4 linked regions of the Drosophila melanogaster genome follow. The protein of the gene in region 3 purifies or fractionates together with the protein of the main gene of each other region. This does not show direct contact. Each region holds a gene or a part of one and is shown on either strand. Other genes may lie near its edges.

Region 1 (4,236 bases), about 18 Mb from region 3:
GGAACAACGCGACTTTCGATTGAAACATACTTTCCCTTCTCATTCAATTGCTACCGACGACGCACACCGTTTACTGCGATTTAAAGCAACTTAAACCGCAGTCAATGAGAACAGAAATTCAACTGATTCGACTTTTCGTTTCGAGGTCCTAACGAGTTGGGCCATGTCCTGCGCTTGCAACCTCCAGCTGCAACCTCCAACAGCAACTTCGAGCTCATCCGGACCAGCTTGAGCATGGAGCACCCCTATTTCCCCTTCTGTTATTGAGTCCTTTGACCCTCTCTGGTAAAAATATCCCAGCTTTATTGCGGAGAACATGCATATGTCTGACTTGTTACATGTTTTAGACAAATGTATTTGTTATTGCTAAATATTTTGTGAGGCTAGGAAAATGCTCCACTTCACTGTTAGATGCAATTTGTTGCCTTCTGCAGATTTTTATGTTTTATTTTTTTTTTTTCTATTATGTATTATTATTACTATTTATCAAAATATATTTATATTTTATAGAAACTTGGGCAATTTAATACGGCATTCCTGCGATAAAATCGATTTTATCAAACGCGCCATCTGGTGGGATTTTCATGTAAATTTCCCTCGACCGTAAAATAACAAAGTCGGTATTATTACGATAAAAAAAATACCAAGCGAAGCTAGATTTTACTTGCAAATACAGCATACAGCATTTATAGGACCTTCAAGCCTGTTATCCACTCTTTGGTCGACACTAAAACTTAACATTCTACAATAATTAGGCTGAAAATGAACAGGTAGAAATTATTTTACAACTTTTATTTCCGTGACAATGTTATTTGACAAGCCATTATACTTGGCTCACGGCATTGGTCTGATTAGCATTTTGCACGACTTCAGGGGATATCTATTACCAACATTCCAATTACCCCACCAAATGCCATCGGTCGTGTCCAACTCAACTTTGGAATTCCGATATTTTCCGTTCAAGTTACTGAAAAAGAATTATTTTTCAAAATCATTAAACAAAAACAAGTTCATACATACCAGTTCATTGTACCCCACCATTTCGATGATTCCATTGCAAACGGATTTCCAACAATAATATGGTTTATATGACTGCGAAATGCGTCGCCAGCATTTCCTGAGTATTCGCCAAGGGAAAGCAGTTTGTATTTCTGTTTTTCATCGCCAATAACAAAATTATCATATCTTGCATAAGCACTAGCATTGTCGAAATCGACGAGCTGGATATATAGTTCCATTCGTCGATGTGTCGTCATTTTATGCAATTTTTGTAGGCCAAGCCAGAACTCGCCACCCAAATCCCCACAGCCCGTTATTATATTTGATTCAGTGGCGTTATCGAAACTGCCATCGATTCTACGCTGGATTATCATCCAACCACGACCGGCAGAAGGAATATCCTCGAAAACTGAGGCAAAGGGTTCGAAATCAGGTAGTGTCACCAATTTAATTGAAGGCAACTTGGAAGAGCCCAGTAATACGAATTCATCGTGGTCCTTATTATTAACGTTATACTCAGACAATATCTCTGTCATTTTCACTATCTTTTCGTCCTTCGCCTTTACTGCACCTTCCAATTGCACAATTTTTAGCTTCGACTCGTCAATTTTGAATTCTAGTCTGGCGATTTCCGCCTCTTTTGAGTTCAAAATTTTCTCGATTTCAACAATCTGATCATTCCCCTCTCGAAATTTTCCATTTTCCATATTTAACTCCTTTCGTTCTTTCACAACTTTATCATGCGCTGGAGCACAATTTCCTCCATCGTTCTTCTTAATTGTAATCCTACTCAAGTCGAGATCACTTTGCAAGTCCATAATTTGAGTTTGTAACTTCTGTATGGTCATTTCTTTTGTTTGCGTTACTAAGTCAATCGACAATTGCAGGGTCTTAATAAAATCATCCTTATCCTTGATGCAGTTTTCAAGTATACTGCCCTTCTCCTGTTGGGCCTTCAGATTTATTTCAGCCTCCGCCAACTTTCGGGTGAGTTCCGATATTTTCCTCTCATCTTTTTTCTTATGTTTCAGCATTCCCCGTGCACTTGTGCCCACAAATTCCATTTCCGAATCACTGCTGCTCTGAAAAACGAAAGAGTATACAATATTCGCTGAGAACTATGTGCATGAATTCATGATTACGATCACTATCGGATCTGACTGAGTCTATTCAAAGACACTAGAATCGGAATTTGGGGAAGTACATATAAAGCGAAAAGTTTTTATCAAAGACATTAGAATAATAAAGACATTAGACATTATTATTTTAGTGTCTTTGATTTTTATTTTACTTGTGAATTTATATCAATACACCAAAAGAATTTTCAAATTTCTCACACGTTCTTCTCTATCTATGTAAGTAACGAGAATCGAGAAAAATCTTATTGCTCACCGAATTGTTCTCAGTGCTGGAATCTGGAGAGGATCGCGAATTCTGAGAAAAGTTGTTCTGGTCCTCCGGCTTCATGGGGATTAATTTATCAGCACCACGTTTTATCGTACCTAAAAGCACTCCAAACGGAATTTGCAATAATCCGTGCAATAAATTTAAAGATGTAAAGCAAGTGCCTATATTTGTAACAACTCAAAATACAAAAAAATCCGATGAATTGCACGTAGCTGTTTAGCTCTAAGTGTTACCAGATATGGACTGAGGGAGTTACGCAGTCCGGCTAGAACATGGCATAGGGGGTATTCCGTAAATTTAATTACTGGGTATCATCTTTGAAAAGGAACTTTTGCATTTTCAAACTATTGCTTTAAATAAGTGTATAAGAACCATTTCTCATTTGATTAAGCTGCCTAGATGGCAGTAGTACGCTTTTCCTATAAATAATCACTTATATTTAAATACCAAAGAAACTTTGGAATACCTTTATTATCAAACCGGTTAGGAGATATATGTATTTATTCCCAAGATATTCAACATGTTAATAATCTTTTATTGTTGATAAACTTTCACACACTTTAACACATACCCTGTTATACATACATATTGCAAAACATTTAGGTCTGCAGAGTTGATCTTTGATATTCGCCTAACGTAAATACCACGCACAAAACAAAGCTCAATTGTTAAGTGTTAACAGTTTACGCATATTTATTTGTATGTATTGGGAACATCCAGAGAAATCAATATATAAAAAAAATATAATGTTTATATGTGAAGCCCTTAATTTCTACTGTTGAAATTTATATCTCAATTTCTGTAGCCATCTCCAAGTACTATTCGAGGTCGTCGATACTTGCGTTTCCAGATGAACACTCTATAATTTTGGCTCCGTCCAGTTGTTGCTCCGAGCTCTGCCCCAAAACGATTGGCCCGTCGTTGCCCTCGGCCGCTCGATTGCCGAACTCCTGCATCTTGACGATCAGCATCGCGAATACTTGAGCTGGAAGGGAGGATTGCAGCACCTGCAGCAGACGAGCCGGCTGGCCACACACGACGATGGCATTCGCCAAGTGCTCCACGCCACTCTCGAAATCTCCGCGGGCGATCAGGGTCTCGCCCAGCTGGATTTCTTGAAGGAAATATCTGCAAATATCATGGTTTAATTAGTTTGGAACAGCTGATTCGATGCACACTATTACGAATTAAATTAATGCCAGGCAAATTAGGTGCATATAAATAATATAAATTGTGCACAGTTGCAACAATAATAACTATTTGTATATTCAAATTATGAATTTCTTGGCAGGAAGCCTGCTGAGAATCCAAACACTGAAATGTGCTTGTTAATCCAAGGCAGTGGAGTCTTTAGATGCCTGAGGCAATAAGCAGCAACACGATGAACACGCAAGTGTAATGGGACTCCACATAAAATATGTACATCGATTTGGCTGGAGAAACATATGTGGGCTTGTTTGTTTGAATGGAGGTGTATTGAATCGCCAGGCACCACTACACGTGCCACATTATATAATGCGACTCCCATGGGAGTGTCCTACCTTTCGATGGCTTCATGGTCGTTCAGATTGGGAACTCCAGACTTGGCAGTGCCGGTTTTCTTGTTGCGACGGCGACCTAGGAAGTGATGAAATGATGAGTTTCTTTCATAATTCAGTTGGGGCGCAATGGGGATTCTTACGCTCACGGACTTTCTTCTTGTACTCGGGATCGCTGCGGCGCTTCTTGTCGAAGTAGATGCAGTATCCAATAAACAGAGTTCCAGCTACTCCCGCTGCAATGCCGATTGCAGTTTTGTTCATTTCAATCATATTACTACGGAAATCCTCT
Region 2 (6,102 bases), on a different chromosome or scaffold from region 3:
TTTCCAGGAACATTCACTTTCGACCATGTTCAATCGTCTTAATTACCGACTGGCTTACGTAAACTTTTCTTCTTGCTAATTGATTTTCCATCGAATGAGTTCTCGAAATCAAAGGTCTTCGTGCACTTTTAAATGACATTGTACATTTCCTCTTAATTAAGAGTCGATTATGGCGGTAATCCGAACTATTTGCCAGTCATTTTGTGGGGTTTTCAATTTTATTGGAATTTATTTATACAAAACAAACTCAAGATTAAAATCTATAAGCAAACTGACTAATATAAACACAAGCATTGATGGCAGTTCTATCTATTATATAAATTGTGTAAATACCTCCATGCAGATAACCAGCAGTAATAAACCAAGAATTTAAGCCTGATTATTGCGTTTCAAGGCTGGGATTTGCAGATAAATAATATGAATATCTCAAAAGTCTTTATACCCCTTTAATTACGCACCAAATTATGCATTTGAATTCTCTAGAAATGAGTACCAAACAACCCATAAATTCAAAATCAATGCTTATTGTACATCTATAAGTATTTTATATTTATTTTGGAATTTATCATAAATTTTGCTTGAATTTTAAATACACATCCATAGATCGTCATTAGCTATTCTCAATTCAGTTTTAAATAGGTCGTAACATAATAAGTTTGACTTGCAAGCAAAACAGAAACGAACAAAATGTATCTAAAAAATGTGAATACTTAAGTGAATCAATATATTTTATATGCTGTCTTCATGTACATAGATAATAGATAATATATAACAATTACGATTACAAAAAAACACGACATTTTATGTGAGTGCAGGACAGTGACGGCGGAAAAAGGGGGTCGGGACATGGAACAGGGGGGAGGGAGGAGAGGGGGACAGTGGAGCAGTGGGCGTAGGAGCACAGCTTGGATGAAAAATGAATTTCGCTTTCTTGTTGTCTCTCTGGTCGAGGCGACGAGAGATAAAGTTCTATAATGTAAGCGTTAAATATATTATTTATATTATGTTTGTTATATATATAAGATCGTATATATGTGAGTGTGTGTGTGTGTGTGTGTTGCGTGTGCGAGGGAGTGGGGTTATTCCTATATCGTTTTAATGACTTAAAGAACTAGAAAACATCATCATCAGCAGCAGCAGCAGCAGCATCATCGTCATCAGTGTCATCCCTTTCGCCTGATTAATCTGGGTTAGTATCAGAATCGAATTATTCCACAGGACAGAGACAGACACACAATAATTTAGTCTAGATACTTGTATTTGGAGGCATATATCGTGCGATTAAGATGTCCTGTCTACTTGATCCGCTGCAGCTGCGTGTCGAAGGCATCGTGGGCCGCTTTAGTTTTCCTTTTGTTTTTTTGTTTTCTCCTTTTTGTTTGGTTTTTTTTTCACTTTCAGTTTAGTTCCAAGTTCGGTTTTGTTCCGTTTATAAATATTGTTTATGCATTGTGTGTTGTTTCTGTGTTATCATTACAGTAATTATTTGTAATAAAGACGACGGCATTCTAGGAATTGTTTATGCACAAAAGCAAATAGTTATTAGTTCCATGCTCCAATGCTAGCTTTAGTTTCATGTTTTTCTTTACTTTCATTTCGTGTTAAGCTATTTCAATGTTTATTAAGTGTTCTTTCTCCATCTCCCTCTCTCTGGCGCGGCTATCATCATCTTTTTCTGTCCCAGTTAAGCAGGATGAGTGCTGCTTGAGTTCGTGGTTGATTGATTGATTCTCCTTTTGATTTGATTAGATCCCCGGAAAGCAGAGTGTCACTTAGTACCTGCTGTTGTTAAACTGCGAATTGATGGCCGTATTAACGGCCGAGGAGGCTGCTTCCTGGACGTGCTGGTTGCGCAGAAACTCGGTGGTGAACTCCGCCTGGGCCTTGGCCATACTGGCCCCTGTGCTGCGGTAGATCGAGTGAATCTTTGTGATCATCAGCACATTGGCCACGGCCACCGCTGTGAAACAGAATGCCACGTTCAACAGCAGAATGCCGACGATAATACCCGACGCTTGCCCATCGAACTGCCCGATGGCCGTAATAAAGCCACAGTAGCCCATCTTGTTGAAGCCCACCGCCTGCACAATCGAGTACAGCGTTTGAAAGAAGTAGATGAAGAAGAAGACCATGAAGTTGAAGCTCGAATCGTTGCGGAATGCCTTGTACGCCGGTCGGAACCTGAAAATTAATCACACATCATCACATTATTCATGTTTTAAGAATCTTCCAGGTATAAACTCACCAGCAGACATAGGAGGCGGGCGAGAAGAGCATCGTGTAGAAGATGGCCAGGAAGAAGGTCTCGAATTCGCCAGCGTGGAACAGCAAAATTAGACCGCCTATCACGTTGGCCAACAACGTCATGGTGTAAACTGTCGGAGAAAGTATTCAAAATAGACACATACAATCAGCATAATGCTATAATCTGTAGGGGAAAGCATTATTATATACTATATACTATGCATGCAGTAAATAATGCTAGAAATGCATTTAAAAACTATCTTAATACTGATAACATGTAAATCAAACAAATTTCATGCTCCCCTCTTTGCAAGCATATTCTGCACAAAGGCACGCACACATCCAAGACCATTAGCCATTCAGCTATATCTGATTAATAATGGCATCGGCCTGTAGACGACACGCGATGACTAATTCCACAACCTATGGCACCGCTTATCAGCGAAAACATGTAGAAAACACAGCCATAAAGAACCAATACTCACAAATCCAAATGTAATACAATCGCTTGACCAGTTTCTGGAACTCGGGCGGTATCTCCACCTCGAAGTCCTGGTAGAAGCACGGCTTTACACAAAAGTTATCCGGCAGCGGTGGCCAGTTGTTCAGCTGCGGCACATTGCCCTGTAGCTGCTGCTCGCGGCGGTCCAGTTCGGCGGCCTTGCGGTCCAACTCCTCCTGCCGGCGCTGGATACAATGAAAATCATATGATTATCGACTGTTTTATATATACATTTTGTATGACTTAATAAATTGGCCGTATATGGTAAATACTTTAAATCTTATTCATTTACATATTTGGGAAAACAAAGGCGAAATTCAATGATAGGAATTCACATCCAAATCTTGAGTTTGTTAAACTTCTATCTTAACCTCAGGCATTTGGCCTATCTATAGGAAATATTCTGTACAAGAATAAAGTGCAAACTTAAGCCTCCAAATCATATGTATTTAGATCTACTAACTAGTATTTCTTGAATTATTGTGTAGGGCCGAAGAAGCCAAGTAAATCAAGAGAAACCGCAGTTTGCACAGTGAAGACTCGGCGCGGCAGCCGCTTCTAGTCTCAACCAGATAAATGCTCCAAAGCGGATATATCGTTGGCAGATCGAGATAAGCCCGCTTATCTTTCTGACTCTTGATGGAGAGTAAAATGTGATATGCCTGCCCTAATCCCGGCACTCTAGCAAAGTGATTACTGTACAGACTTTTAGGGCAAACTTTTAGTGTAACTGTGTGGTGTGGTCCATTTCGATTGTTTCCGAGTATTTGGATGTACATATGCGGTTTTTGGAGTATTGCGGATGTGGCCATGCCGGCACAGCACACCGCAGAGTGCTCACTGTTGTGTGGGCGGTAACGCGAGACGACCGGCCAAGTGGGTTACCTGCAGCTCCTCCGAGGTGATCTGTATGCTGGTGCTAGGCGCCGAGGCGCCCAGGGAACTGGTCTGCGGGGGCGGAATGTTCTGCGATAGCGGCTGGACCACCGCCGCCGTGTTCGTTGAGTTGATCTGCAGCTGCGGCTTGGCCTGCTCCTCGAATGGATTGTAATCCTCAAGAGAGACAAGGGCGGCGCCGCTCTGGAGTCGTCGTGCCTGCTGGATGGCGGGGTCCTGCGGGGGAAAACCGGGAAATCCCAATCAGAAACCAATTCATTCAACATATGTGACGAATGCACCCAACACACACACACACTACACTCACAGGCACGCACACCAACACCCCACCTTTGCGTACGTGTGCGTGTGTGTGCGATGGGTTTTTTCTTCGGCTTCCGCGCTCTCTCTCCTAGCTCTTCTATCGCCTCACCGCAAACGGATTGTCCAGATTGGGCTCCCCGAAGGGATTCTCGTCGAGACCGGAGCCGGACATGGGAATTCTACTTTGGATACGGCTGTTCAATGACCAGAAAAACGCACTGACTCGCACTTTGCTTTTCGCTGTGTATATTTTCCCTAAGACTCTGCTCAGTTATCGATGTCGGTTTTAGTGATGGTTCAGCATCGATAAGCTTTCGTTGGGAATCAAAGTGTAGGCCTCAAATATCGAAAGAATTACTTTAAAGAATTAATGTTATTTGAATTACATATTAAATTCATTTTGGCAGAAAAACTTATTATTTAACACATTTAACATTAATCTAGAATTCTGAAAAATGTGAATAACTGGTATACAATGGTCTGATTTTTTAGGACCTATTAATACATTTTATTAAAATGATAGCAAAAAGAAAAGATTCTATATACAATTGGATGTAAACCAGCAGTTATCATATGAATTTTAAATTTAAATGGCAACAATCGTGCCAATCGGAACTGCTCCAGCTGAACCAGCTGCGTGGAACCAGTTCCCATCCCTGGGGCCGCCATTCCGCAATTGGAATTCTAGTGTCTTGGGTTGCGATTCGATTCATTTACCGCTGCCCGCGTCTCCAATTCGGTTGTGTGCGATTCTGTCTGCTCCGCATCCAAGTCAAACATCCAATCCTTGCAAGAATGTCGAAGCCCAGCTACAAAGTCGGTGAGTTGCGTTATAAATAAACCCAAACGGATGGCAAACTCTCGAATCGAATCTCCGGCCGGCAACAGGCGACATGTGCGGGTGAATTGCATCTATTCATGAGCACATGTTTCTGAGGTTAAAAGAGAGACAAAACAGAGGAGAGCACGTTGTTGCTGGGGCAAAAAACGTAGAAATTCAGACCGTATGGTGTATAAATCAACAGTGCCTGCTTATCTGACCCTATCTCCCTTTTATATCCCACTCGACAGCCGATATCAGTCTGGCGGAATGGGGACGCAAGGCGATCATTATTGCGGAGAACGAGATGCCCGGTCTGATGGCCTGCAGGAAGAAGTACGGCCCATCTAAGCCCCTCAAGGGCGCCCGCATCACCGGCTGCCTGCACATGACCGTCCAGACCGCCGTGCTCATCGAGACCCTCGTCGAACTGGGCGCTCAGGTGGGTTCAGTGCCTCTTTGGCGCTCTAAATGATTTTATGCATCGTACCACCATTCGAATTGTATGCCCAACTGTAGGTCTGAACAGTCGGGATAATACACAAAGATAGCATCATTTCAATACTAAAAACCATTTCAAAAACCATAAAACCGACCAAAATTCCGTAAGGAAATTGTAAATTAGGTAGAAAGATAGGTATCTCCAAGCATTGTCCAAGGGCTGGTCCCTTATCACCTTTGGTTTACGCACCAATTTGAATAACAAAACTTTCGTTTAACAGCAGGGGGGCAAGTTCAAGGCGCCCAAGATAAGACCTCCAGATTGTTATTTCCTCTGACGCAGCACCATCTGCTTCAATCCTCGCACATGGCAACTATTTTCTGCCAAATGCTGATGTCCTGAAATACATAGATTTCCTGATATAGATCAATCCTATATGCAATGCAAATCAGTTTGCAAATATCTATATAATTTAGGTTCCTTCCCATCCACATCTCAACTTCAACGCATGAACTACATTTTCATTCTTTTATCCAGGTCCAATGGTCCAGCTGCAACATCTTCAGCACCCAGGATAATGCTGCCGCGGCCATCGCTGCCACCGGCGTGCCCGTGTACGCCTGGAAGGGTGAGACCGATGAGGAGTACATGTGGTGCATCGAGCAGACCTTGGTCTTCCCCGACGGCCAGCCCCTGAACATGATCCTGGACGATGGCGGCGATCTGACCAACCTGGTGCACGAAAAGTTCCCCCAGTATCTGAAAAACATCAAGGGCCTCAGCGAGGAGACGACCACCGGTGTCCACAACCTGTACAAGATGTTCAAGGAGGGTCGTCTTGGCGTACCGGCCATCAATGTCAACGATTCGGTGACCAAGAGCAAGTTTGACAAT
Region 3 (7,698 bases):
TGGTCGCCACCCGCTGGCCGCCGGGCTGGAACTTCCTCTGGTTGCCCAGCGTCTTTGAGGCCATGCAGTTGCTGCCGCCGTTGCCGCCAGATCCTGGTCCAGTGGCCACCGCATCGTATCCACCGCTGGTGGGCTGCGACGCCTGCATGCCTCCAGCTGCTGCTCCCGAGCTGGGATCGTCGGGATCGTAGCTGGAGACGCGAATGCCGCGGGAATTCTTGCCACCTGTGCGGGTTTCATTGGAGGGAATGGACTTAATCGTTACGGGTCACACAGATCGAGGGTCTAACTTATTAACAAGAAACATTAGATCATGCCATGCTTGTCACAACCATTCCTCGATTAAGTATGTTACTGAAGATTTTAGTTATTAGTTAATTCTACGATAAAAATCTTAATCGAGGCACGGATATATGATATATATAGTTGGAAAGAGGCCAATAAACATGCAACGAAGAAAACGAGGCGAGGCAAACAGTTGTCAAGCTTATCGTACATTTATTGCTAAGTATTTTAGATATTTTATACAATTGGTTTAAACATTTACAAACAGAAGTAAATAGAAGGACGACGAGAGCTTATCACAAAAGGGTGGTCAAAAGGGGAAATCAAAATAAAAGAAGGAAAAACTTCGTTTTTGGTATCTTTGAGCGAAACGGAAACACGTAAATAAATGCTGAGGGGAAACTAGCTTGAAGATCGCTTGAATGGGGAATCCTGTTCAGCGACTGCCATTGTTGCATACAGTATAATAAAATCTTTGTTTACAAATACATAATATTGTACAATATTATAGTTCGTTTCGTACATAGCTAACGTCTAAATAAGTTGTTTTAAAAAACGCTTAAGTTTAGGTGTAGAGTGTAAACGTAGGAAATACAGAAACACAGACGCAGAGGCAACTCTAAAAGCCCTGAACTCAATGGACTGGCTAAGTTAATTTCTGTTCAGCTTTCAGCGTTTTGTGGAGTGAGTAAGTAAGTAACTAGGCCTAGTACGTATCTTCCTCTCTGAGCTTGGTTTCGGGGGATACTGTGGGGCATTAAGCTAGGGCTAAGGCGCTAGGGCTATAAGTACACTTGTTTGCTTCGCTTTCGGATCGCGTCCCGCTCGGAAATGTGGAATTGTGATTGCAATTAGTGTTTAGTAGCGAGCATCGCTAGAGTTTTGCTTTTGATATTGATTTAGAGCTTTTCGTAACGCTGAGCCGAGGTTACTTCTGCAAAAGATAAGAAAACAAGAAAGAAAAACAAAAGTGTGAAAAACATAACGATAATGGAATGGAAATGGTAATGGAAATTCGCATCGAAATGCATTAAATGAGAGCGACGAACACAAGAGATAAGATAAGTTAAGCAGGCTCGATGAAAAGAACGAACATGCCACAGACACAGAGCACAAAGAGAAGAAGTTGGGCTAAAAAGACGAGAAAGCGAGTAAAAACCAACCTGAGCTGTACTGCGTGTACTGCTGGTACTGCGGATGGAAGTTGTGTATAGCATCTGTCATAATATCCTTGGGATTCATTGTTTCCTGCGAAGGATTGCGGGAGTTTTAGATACGGGAATTCCCAGGGAAATATTCCAGCTTACCTTAAGACTGCTGGAAATGGACTGCATGGTGACAGACCGTCCGTGGCCATCGCTGATGCAGCTGCGTGCGTAGACCTACAAAGAGCATACAACATTTAAGTTATTTTTACTGCAAGCACTTCGTTTTAGCTGATTTCTTCTAGCCAAGTCAGCATTACACGAATACCTTTCACATATCTAACAAGTGTAAGGAAAGCCGCTTAATAAACACCGAAATAACCGAAAAAAAGCACTCAAGTCAGCACTATCTAATCACCAAAAATCGTAAATAGCTGCGTAAAATCTAGCCCACTCCGACATTCCAAAACTCACCTGATAGGGGAATGCATAGCGCAGCGCGATGGCGGCGAACAGCATTTCGATGCAGATGAAGAAGTTCTGGTATCCGGCGGAGACGGTACCGGGTTCCACGGTAACAGTGCCTGCACTGTCTACAATGGGCGAGATAACATTGGCCTTCTCCAGGATGGCCAGACCCACGCCCTGCCAGAAGGACAAGAAGATGACGGACTTAATGGTACAGAACTTTAGCACGGGCTCGAACGGAGTCAGCAGATCACGCGTGGCGAAGTAGAACAGATAGAGGCCATACAACGCCAGCGACACGGAGATGTTGTAGATAATCGTGATGTAAATGTAACCGCCATCAGCACTGCAATTTAGATAAGGAGATATTATTAGTGGGAATGATATGTACCTATAAGTTCTCTCTTTTGCAAAGTGTTACTTAATGGCAGATTTACTGGTTTACAGTTGGTAATTTATTGCGCACGCTCGTTGTTTTTATGCCACCATTTCAGATGCAATAACGCGGGTCATTAAAGATAAACCACATTACCTCCAATCGCCATCGTGGTAGTGGCCAAATGCCTGCAGAAAGATGATAATGAAGGCCACCAGCGGCTTGACCAGGCAGAACTGCAGAGTGGCCTGCTTGCAGAAGCGCAGGAAGCCAATCGTGTAGGTCTTGCCCTTCAGACAGCAGGTGCCATACAGGCACGATGTCTTGATGGGCTTGCCGCGAATCTCCGACATAATATTGCCCTCGCCACCCAGGTACTCATAGCACAGCGACAAGAAGTTGTAGATGACAAAGGCTGGATGGAAATGGGGTTAGCAATTAGTCGATGGGCAAAAATCATTCAAAATCAAATCAGCCGAACCTTCGTAGCAGTCGCGCACCGTAAAGAAGTAGATGTAAACGTTATCCGAGTTGAAGAAAAGCAGACTGATCCAGGAGTATGTGGCATAGATGGGCACAATGAACAAAATGCGCACGATCCAGCGCTGCTCCTGTGGATTCGTGTACCAGCGCAGGTGCTGGTAGATCTGCCAAAGATATCCATTAGTACACAACTCAGACCAATGACGCCTTAACTCACCTGTTGACATGTGATGAAGAGGGCGGCCCAGACGCACACCCCAGCTAGAACCTGGGCGGTCTTTGTCTGCAGGAAGATGCCATCGCCCACGTGGAGCAGCGGGTCCAGCGGCGTGCTCATCGGAGTGTTCTTTACCTGCACCACGTAGTTGGGCTTCCCTGTAGCCTCAAGCGATCCCGCAGTTGTAGCCGTGGCGTTTCCACTACTGGCATTTAGAGCCGCCTCGATGAGACTGGCGGCGGTTGTGCTCATGCTGCAATGGAATCCAGAACGAGGAAGACCGATTAGCGTGGGTGTAACTGGGCTAGGTTCAGGAGCTATTGTGCGGCCAGTTGAAGTGCTCAGCACAGACAGCTAGGCAGGCAAAATGTTTACGTTCTCGTCTCGACTTTCACACGAACATTGCTCCGAAAATGACATTCTTACTCAGAGACACGAAACCCCATTTCAGCACTGCTGTGCTGCGCTCTTAGCTATATTATAGTTACACCTGATTTATTCAAGCTCCTAACTCATAATCTAAATTCATTAGTGAATTATTTCTTTGTATTTTCATATGCTTTCGAATTATTCGCACTTATATAAAGGTTTAAACAACACGCTTGGTCAGAAATTGTGAATCCAGTCATGTGCAAGATGTTGAATAATAGTCATTGAATAATTATGATTTTAAATAAACATCCATTATGTATGTGCATTAATATCTGTGTGTTTTTATTGCCCTGGAATATGGATTTTTAAGGTTTATTATGAAAATGTTCTTATCTTGATAAGTTCATATGTGTTCTATGAATCTTTTCCATGTTGCCCCAAAATTTGTGACAGCACTGCAACAATGTTTGGACGGATTTGGGTCAGCAAGAAGCAAAGTGGGGAATGTGGAGCGGCAGCAGGAACAAAAACAAAAACAAACAAAAGAGTTGGCGGCGGGCGGCGGGTGGTGAACGGGATTGGGTTGGGATTTTGGGAGCAGAGGGACAGAGGCGCGCGCATTAGATCATCACGCAATCCAATATTAATAATGGACTCTGGCGCAGCCAAGGAAAGTTATGGCCACCTCCACACCCACCTTCCACCTTGTCTCAGGGTCACTTCAAACTGCTCCATATCGATTTCACCCGCCTGGGAATGCCAACCAATCAATAGGCGAGTGCAAAGCAAGCAGAATGAATTACATATTTGATAGATCTTGAGTCCATTTGAGTGAAGTTTTTTTTTTTAAATAATCTCGAATGGGGAGCTTTTTGAGCAGCGATGCTATTGTGCGTACAAAAATAACCGAAAGTGCAATGGATACAAATAAACTGAAAGTTCTGGTGGAACGGAAACATATGGCAGTTCAAGAGGATTATGGGGGCCAAGAAATGCGATAAGCATTCGAGGAAACAGGGGGGAAATACAGAATAATGTTAAAATCTTGCGTGGAATCCACTTACTCTAATATTCCAAAAAGGCAAAACCTACAAATCGAAGTGAAATAGAATTGAAAATATCGGAAATGACGAACAGGAAGTAAAATGAAATGTCAAAGTTCCTTGCTGAACAGTGGGAAAAAAGGGTATCGCCCATGGTAAATTCCGATATTATTTATTCAACACCATTTAAAAAAAAAACTCTTTTTTTGAGGAGTGCCTTTACCAATCATTTTTAATAACATCAAGTACAAGATAGCTCGAAACACTGACTCACCACTAAAGGGTTGGGAAACACTAAAAACTTAATAAACTTAACAAAAAAAAGGTGTAATAAACACCTTTTTTTATGATTTAGTTTTAACAAATGGGATATTTTGTGATTATAGAGTCATTTTATCTCCAGAAATGGTATTCAAATATAAAAACTCTTTGGATGTTTTGAATACTTATGGTATATTGTGAGTATTCCAGTTGTGCTGACAAGAGTTTCCCATTAGGGGAATAAAAATCACGTTAATGATAACGAATGAGTCACGAACTCGTGCAAAAGTTAATAATACTCGCATTGTTGAACTCGAATTTGTGAGCAAAACGCAAAGCGTTAAATGTTAAACGCTTGAAATTTGCTTACGAATCTCGGCGACACCGAAAGCCAGAAGTAAATGGCCAAAAGAAGAGGCAGAAGAAGAGTGAGAGAAGGCTAAGCGAAACACAATCAGCTGCACAAAGAAGAAGCAACAACAAGTTGCTGCTGGCGGAGATACACAGAAATTGGCCAAGCAAAAGTCTCCAAGCGAAGAAGAGTCTCCAAAGGTGGCAAGAGACGAGTAAAAGCCATATTGCGATGATTGTGAGGGAAAAGGAGGCGCGGTAAGTTGGTAATTATGGAGCAGGGTGTGTTGGAGGTCGGAAGCCTTGCTGTGGGGCTTCAGTGGGTAAATTGAATTTCAGGCAAAAACAAAAACATATGCAGCGTCAATAAACCATATGCGAAACGACCTTTTGGAGAGTGGGGAAAGAAGAAGACTCGAGCTTATCTTCATTGCTCTTCCACTCACGCACACACAAACACACACAAGTACACTAACACCTTGCTTATCAATGCAAAAGTACATTGACAACAACGAAAACACAGAAAACGAGCTCAATAATTTCGTCATCGAATCGGGTAATCCACAACCTGCCATTTCAGGGAAAACAACTTTTACACAAACACACACACATGCAGAAAACCTGCACGCACAAACTGAACAATTCCTTTTTTAATTGGTACGCTAATTACCTTTTTTCAAATGCAACTCTCCACGCTTTAGAGCGTTTTCACAGTTGCAAATTCCGTTTAATTTCGCTGCACCCGTTTTATATAGATTTTCAAATCTCAATACGTTTTTCTTTCTTTTTTTCACCTGACGCCAGTCGCGTCGCCCACTGACGTCGTCGCTCTTGTTTGGGGCTAAAAGAATGGCCTACAGCGGTTGACTTATGGCCGCGGCGGTACGCAATATGTTTGCCAATGTTTGAACACGATTCCTGGATGTTTTTTTCGCGGATCGTGGGTGTGAAAACAGCGAAGGAAAGCGGAGCAAAATAAATGAAAACTACGCACGAATCGTGTTGGTGTGTGACCTAACTACACTAAGCGCTAAAATCTGCGTGCCAATACATAAAAAATACCGAAACATATGTTTTACAGTATTTGCGTGGGAGTGCTGCGTAGTTATTTTCTTTTCGTTTGCTAATTAAATACCACAAGTGTTCACACTGTGCATCACGCGCACAGGCGCATCTTATCACTTGCGCTCCGCTTGACTTCGGATAAAATAACATAAGCAATTCCAACTAATATGGTAACAAACTTAAGTTAGCAGTAACAATTAAATTAACAGGGAAAAATATTTTGTAGCACTTGCACATTTAAGACTCGTTAATGTTCAATTGTTCAATACTCCAGCACAATCTTGCAAGATCAACATATACCATAGATTATATTAAAATTTAAAAGGTTAATAAATGTAATTGTTTGGTTACTTTATTGTTTTAAATAAACGTCATATAGTGACTAACGAATTAGAATTGTTTTTAACAATTAACCAAATCGCATTTCAGAAACCCCTTCATATTTTGCTCACAGGGTGCCCGTGGTCTTCGGAGTGATTTTTTTCTGCTGCACGACTACAGGTCACACTTTTCGTGTCAGCCATGTTGTTTTCTGTCACCAAACCCTCGCAAGCGTAGGAATTACAAAACAGCATTTCACTTTTTGTGTTGCCAGGAAAATATAAATTTTTCAGGCCGATCATCAGCAGGAATAATCAAAATAAATATATAGCAATTGAGCCAAAACAAACCCAACTGTTTTTGTGCATTGGTGGTCCAGAATAAGTGGAGTTTTGAATGGTTTTCATGGTGAGTAAAGTTCATTGAATAAATTCAGTACTCGTACTTAAAACAGCGACACCTCGCCCCCTCCGCTTCTCCTCTTCGTTCGTTTCGCTTCTGCTTCTTCCCGTGGAGATGCTTCAACATCAACGACTTCGAAGCAGCAACAACAACACTGCACGGGAGCGAGAAGAAAAACCAAGAAACTGCTGGAAACAGTGAAAATCGGTTAAAACCATTACCCAAAAGTATGTTGATCAGTATTGATTGGTGCTTAACGACTCGCAGATTCCTCTTTGCGCTCTGTTTCGTTTCGGTGTGCAATTCATATTTTATGCTTAGGGTACAGTCTCGGTTCTACTAGCAGCCCCGTTCCAGATTCGATTTCAAGATGAAAGGCATTATGTAAATACATTTCCGCGAATAAATTGTGTACCGCCTGTCACACATTCGGGGGTAGAAATATATATATTGCTCTTGGTCGTAGTAAATACCTGTATTAGCGAACATACCTGAATTGGCTTTAAACCGAAACATAGGTAGTCCGATACAAAGTCTTGCTTAGCTAGGATCACTCAGGAACTGAAAGATCTCTTATTAACAAGCATGCTAATAAAATGCAGAAAATAAAACAACGGATTTGTTTAGCATTGCCAAGGCAACATATCAATTGGGTTTTATAGCGCTTACCATTAAATAGTCTTAATAGCTGTTTGATCGGAAAACATACCACTATTTCATATTGGTACATAACTTTAAGGCTATCAAACAATTTTTAAAATATATTTCTATAATTATAAATGATATATGGATAAATGCAGCCACAATGCTGGCTTCGATTGGCAATTTTGATGGTAATCTCCCTCTAAGAACTATAATTTCGACTGTTTTTAAGAGTGTACACTTAGTTTAAGTTTTCAATACTTTAGA
Region 4 (3,345 bases), 1.8 Mb from region 3:
CAATATATATGTGTTTTATTAGGTCCGCACATCAATGATCACAGGCTGCCCACCTGGCTGTAAACTCTTGTAAAGATGTGACTTCCTCTAGCAAAGTTATCCAAATACGGCGTGCTGGCCAGCGTATCGCCATAAGCTCCAATAACTGGACGCAGATCATCAAAGATCACCATCACCACATTCGGCCGTCGTGGCGGAGCAGCTGCGTCCAGCAGCACTGGCATCATCAGCGAGAGCAGGAGACGAGCAGTGATCATGTCTACGGCGAAGGAAGCTCACAACTGTTGACTCGAAGATGCCGACACGGCGGATGTGGATGCCGGCGAATTTGTTGTGCTACCCTGTGCCCATGAAATCTGATAAGGGGGTATATCAGCGGCTCATACATTTGGTTTTATAAAAATTTTGAAAATCAAGTAATCTATATATATTCAAAAATTCAAATATCTAAAATATGGCGTTTTGAAGGGTTTTTCTTTTAATCTCCTGATGCATTTGAAGGGTATATTTATGTCATTCCCAAATTCATTTAAAACACTTCACTTGTTTACTGTTTTGCGCGGTAAAGTCCAAAGAGCATGGAGAAGAGAAATCGGACGGGCGGCGCAATTCAAAACCGCCCTCCATTATATTTCAATTGAATTTAACGGAAGCGCGCCTCGTCGACGCTTACAGTGCACATTTTACAAGTACAGTAAAAGTTCTATAATCACGAAATGCAACAGTGGGTCAAATTATTCACAAATCAAGAACTAATGAAGTTTTGTACAACCTAGTTCATATCTAAAACCGTCCAAGTCATTATATCTGCGTACCATTACTCTAAGATATAATAAACATGTTGTAAACCTTTTATTTAAATATATAAATATTTTTTCTTTTGTTTGCAGTTTAAAACTTATGTTACTTAAAATCCTTGTAAAAAGCCAAATCACTATTCAATTGGAAAACATGTTCAACTGATTTTTTTTAGCATTTTTTTCATAACTGGGCTTACTGATTTGAATTCGAGTTTAGCATATTTCACTGTACATGACCATTCTCCGGACAGGGACTGGAATGGAATCGGGGGCATTCCGCAGGCTGGCATGAATAATATTTACACATAGTATATAATGATTTGCGAGCTAACGATTAACAATAACAAAAATATTGGTGCTTTGTGATAGTCACCCACCGCGAAAGCCTAATAGGGATCAACTTTTAGCGTTTCTTTATGGATAATTTCTGGGTAATCCCCTCTAGAAAACCGTTCCGCAGTTGGAACAGCGCTTCTCACGCATGGCCAAGCAACAGAGAATTCCCAGCGGGAAGAAGAAGATTGCGCAGCACAGTCCGCAGGCGGAGAAGGTGTCCTCCAGGTATCCAATCCGACATGCAGGGCATCCTCCAATCACGATGATCTCGGTGGGCATAGCGACCGGAGCAGGCTGAATCACCACGCTGACCGGCGTCGTCTCGAAAGCTCCGTAGGTTGGCATGTGCATGTTTGGTGGCGGAGCACTAGGTGCTCCCTGATGCACGCCCACTATCAGCCGGGAATCTAAAAAAGATGTGCATTGAATTGGATGCCTTTAGTGAGCCTATTACTTACCCTGCGAGGGACTGTTCATGACTTCTTCGTAGCTCGGCGGCGCGGCGTCTTTACGGGTATCTGCCATTGTGGCCGGAAAGCTTTTTTTTGTGACTCACTGCTTCTTGTTATGAAAATAGTCTAGGCTTTTTTACTACGTTTAATTGCGTTAACTTTTTCTCTGCGTTTTCTTTGTTTTGCCGCAATCAGTTATCGTTGCAACAGCTGACTGCGACTATTCTATCGATTGGTAATCGTGGTCGCGGGAGTACATATCGTAAATCAGTAGTTTGAATTTGAGCAAAGAATTCTACGATTTAACATCTTAAAATACATTTATTTATGCAAAACTAACAAATGCAACTGCACATACATCTTGTTCTATAAGAACCTATAAGCAAACTTATAGTAGCCATCTATTTGGCTTTGAGTGAGCGAGGATTTCTGCTTGGTCAGAACTTTTTCAAAGTCTTGTAGCTCAATTTCCGTGGCCTTAAAGTCACGTTGAAAAGCCTCGATAGCCGCCTCATTGCAGAGATTACACAGATCCGCTCCAGAATACCGGTCTGTTCGGGCAGCAATCTCCTGGAGAAACACATTTTCATGGAAAGGCATGCGCTGGGAGTGGAGTTTTAGCAGAGCCAGGCGGGATTTCTCATCTGGGGCTGGTACATGGATAAGCTTGTCAAAGCGTCCTGGTCGCAGTAGGGCATCATCGATCATATCCGGTCGATTGGTGGCTGCAACGACAAGTATATGTTGCTGACTACCACCCCCCACAATGCCATTCATTTCGGTCAACAGCGTGGAGAGAATCCTCAGCTGAACTTGTCCACCACCTCCGCCACTTGAGACCGTCCTTCTGCCAACAAGCGAATCTATAAAATTAAGTGGATTAATCATTTTTATGGCAAATTAAGCTTATCCGACTCACCTATCTCATCTAGAAATATAAGACAGGGTGCATTTTTTCGCGCTGTGTCAAAGATTCGCGATATAAATCTTTCCGCGCAACCGACGTAGGGAGAGTACACCTCCGCCGCCGACGTAGCAATGAAGGTCATGTCAGCTTCCTTGGCCAGGCACTTGGCTACGGTGGTCTTGGCACATCCTGGAGGTCCATAGAGCAGCACTCCTTTGGGCAAACTTAGTCCGAATCGAGCAAAAGCGGCACTTTGTCTTATACCCGCTAGAACGGAGACTTGCAAGGTACGTTTCAGTGCTTCCATGCCTCCGATAACCTCAAACCCAGCCGTCATCTTCGAGACCCGCACATCTGTGGATCGAGATGCACTCGGTTGAGTTTGTGACAGGGATTTGAGGAAAATGTGCTCTATGTCGAAGTCGTCTTTTGTTAAGAGTTGCTGTTGAACGCGGCGCAGGAGTAGTGTTAAATCCGCTATCACATATCCCTGAGTGTTTCTCGCTATATGCTCGAGTAAAGTCTGTGAGATATTCAGCTCGTGTACTTCGCAGAGATGCTCTACGAGTTGTCTGCGCTGCCCTTCGCTGGGCATATTAATGGTCACCTCTCGGACGAACCGCCTGCGCGCATGTTCATGCAAGGAGTCCGGGACACCAGAAGTTGCCAGACATATGATGCCTCGAGGAAGTGCGTCTAGCAGTTTGTAGAGCTCAGCTGAAATTCGTAGGCTATTGCTAGAGTTTTTTGCATCTGCGACAGCCGTTGAGGGGCAGAGCAGCTCCAGATCCTCAATGAGGATTACAATTGGCACTATAAATATAAAACTAATTAATATTTCAAACGTAAA

The links.
Region 1: the proteins of Tmep (region 3) and CG7668 purify together in Drosophila melanogaster (affinity purification with mass spectrometry, with the first as the bait; one large-scale study listed by BioGRID). This does not show direct contact.
Region 2: the proteins of Tmep (region 3) and Scamp purify together in Drosophila melanogaster (affinity purification with mass spectrometry, with the first as the bait; one large-scale study listed by BioGRID). This does not show direct contact.
Region 4: the proteins of Tmep (region 3) and CG12012 purify together in Drosophila melanogaster (affinity purification with mass spectrometry, with the first as the bait; one large-scale study listed by BioGRID). This does not show direct contact.

Annotation. Positions count from the first base shown.
Region 1 is NT_037436.4:20,001,148-20,005,383, reverse strand, and holds CG7668 (uncharacterized protein), read right to left. Parts: upstream 2,649-4,236; 5' UTR 2,467-2,648; coding exon 2,392-2,466; intron 2,082-2,391; coding exon 1,021-2,081; intron 968-1,020; coding exon 835-967; 3' UTR 550-834; downstream 1-549. Other genes in the region: Tom20 (translocase of outer membrane 20), read right to left, coding at 3,225-3,534, 3,948-4,023, 4,088-4,217.
Region 2 is NC_004354.4:15,445,650-15,451,751, forward strand, and holds Scamp (scamp), read right to left. Parts: upstream 4,235-6,102; 5' UTR 4,119-4,234; coding exon 4,056-4,118; intron 3,860-4,055; coding exon 3,632-3,859; coding exon of another isoform or gene 3,584-3,631; exon of another isoform or gene 3,210-3,583; intron 2,932-3,209; coding exon 2,730-2,931; intron 2,376-2,729; coding exon 2,246-2,375; intron 2,182-2,245; coding exon 1,773-2,181; 3' UTR 530-1,772; downstream 1-529. Other genes in the region: Ahcy (adenosylhomocysteinase), read left to right, coding at 4,742-4,766, 5,018-5,208, 5,746-6,102.
Region 3 is NT_037436.4:1,567,515-1,575,212, reverse strand, and holds the start of Tmep (transmembrane endosomal protein), read right to left. Parts: upstream 6,033-7,698; 5' UTR 5,672-6,032; intron 3,313-5,671; exon of another isoform or gene 3,228-3,312; 5' UTR 3,227-3,227; coding exon 2,975-3,226; intron 2,922-2,974; coding exon 2,756-2,921; intron 2,690-2,755; coding exon 2,431-2,689; intron 2,245-2,430; coding exon 1,905-2,244; intron 1,668-1,904; coding exon 1,593-1,667; intron 1,534-1,592; coding exon 1,449-1,533; intron 1,220-1,448; coding exon of another isoform or gene 1,185-1,219; exon of another isoform or gene 481-1,184; intron 226-480; coding exon 1-225. Other genes in the region: CG12003 (uncharacterized protein), read right to left, coding at 7,686-7,698.
Region 4 is NT_037436.4:3,375,197-3,378,541, reverse strand, and holds CG12012 (uncharacterized protein), read right to left. Parts: upstream 1,786-3,345; 5' UTR 1,662-1,785; coding exon 1,595-1,661; exon of another isoform or gene 1,544-1,594; coding exon 1,242-1,543; 3' UTR 550-1,241; downstream 1-549. Other genes in the region: Ids (iduronate 2-sulfatase), read right to left, coding at 54-257; CG12010 (uncharacterized protein), read right to left, coding at 1,955-2,451, 2,508-3,308.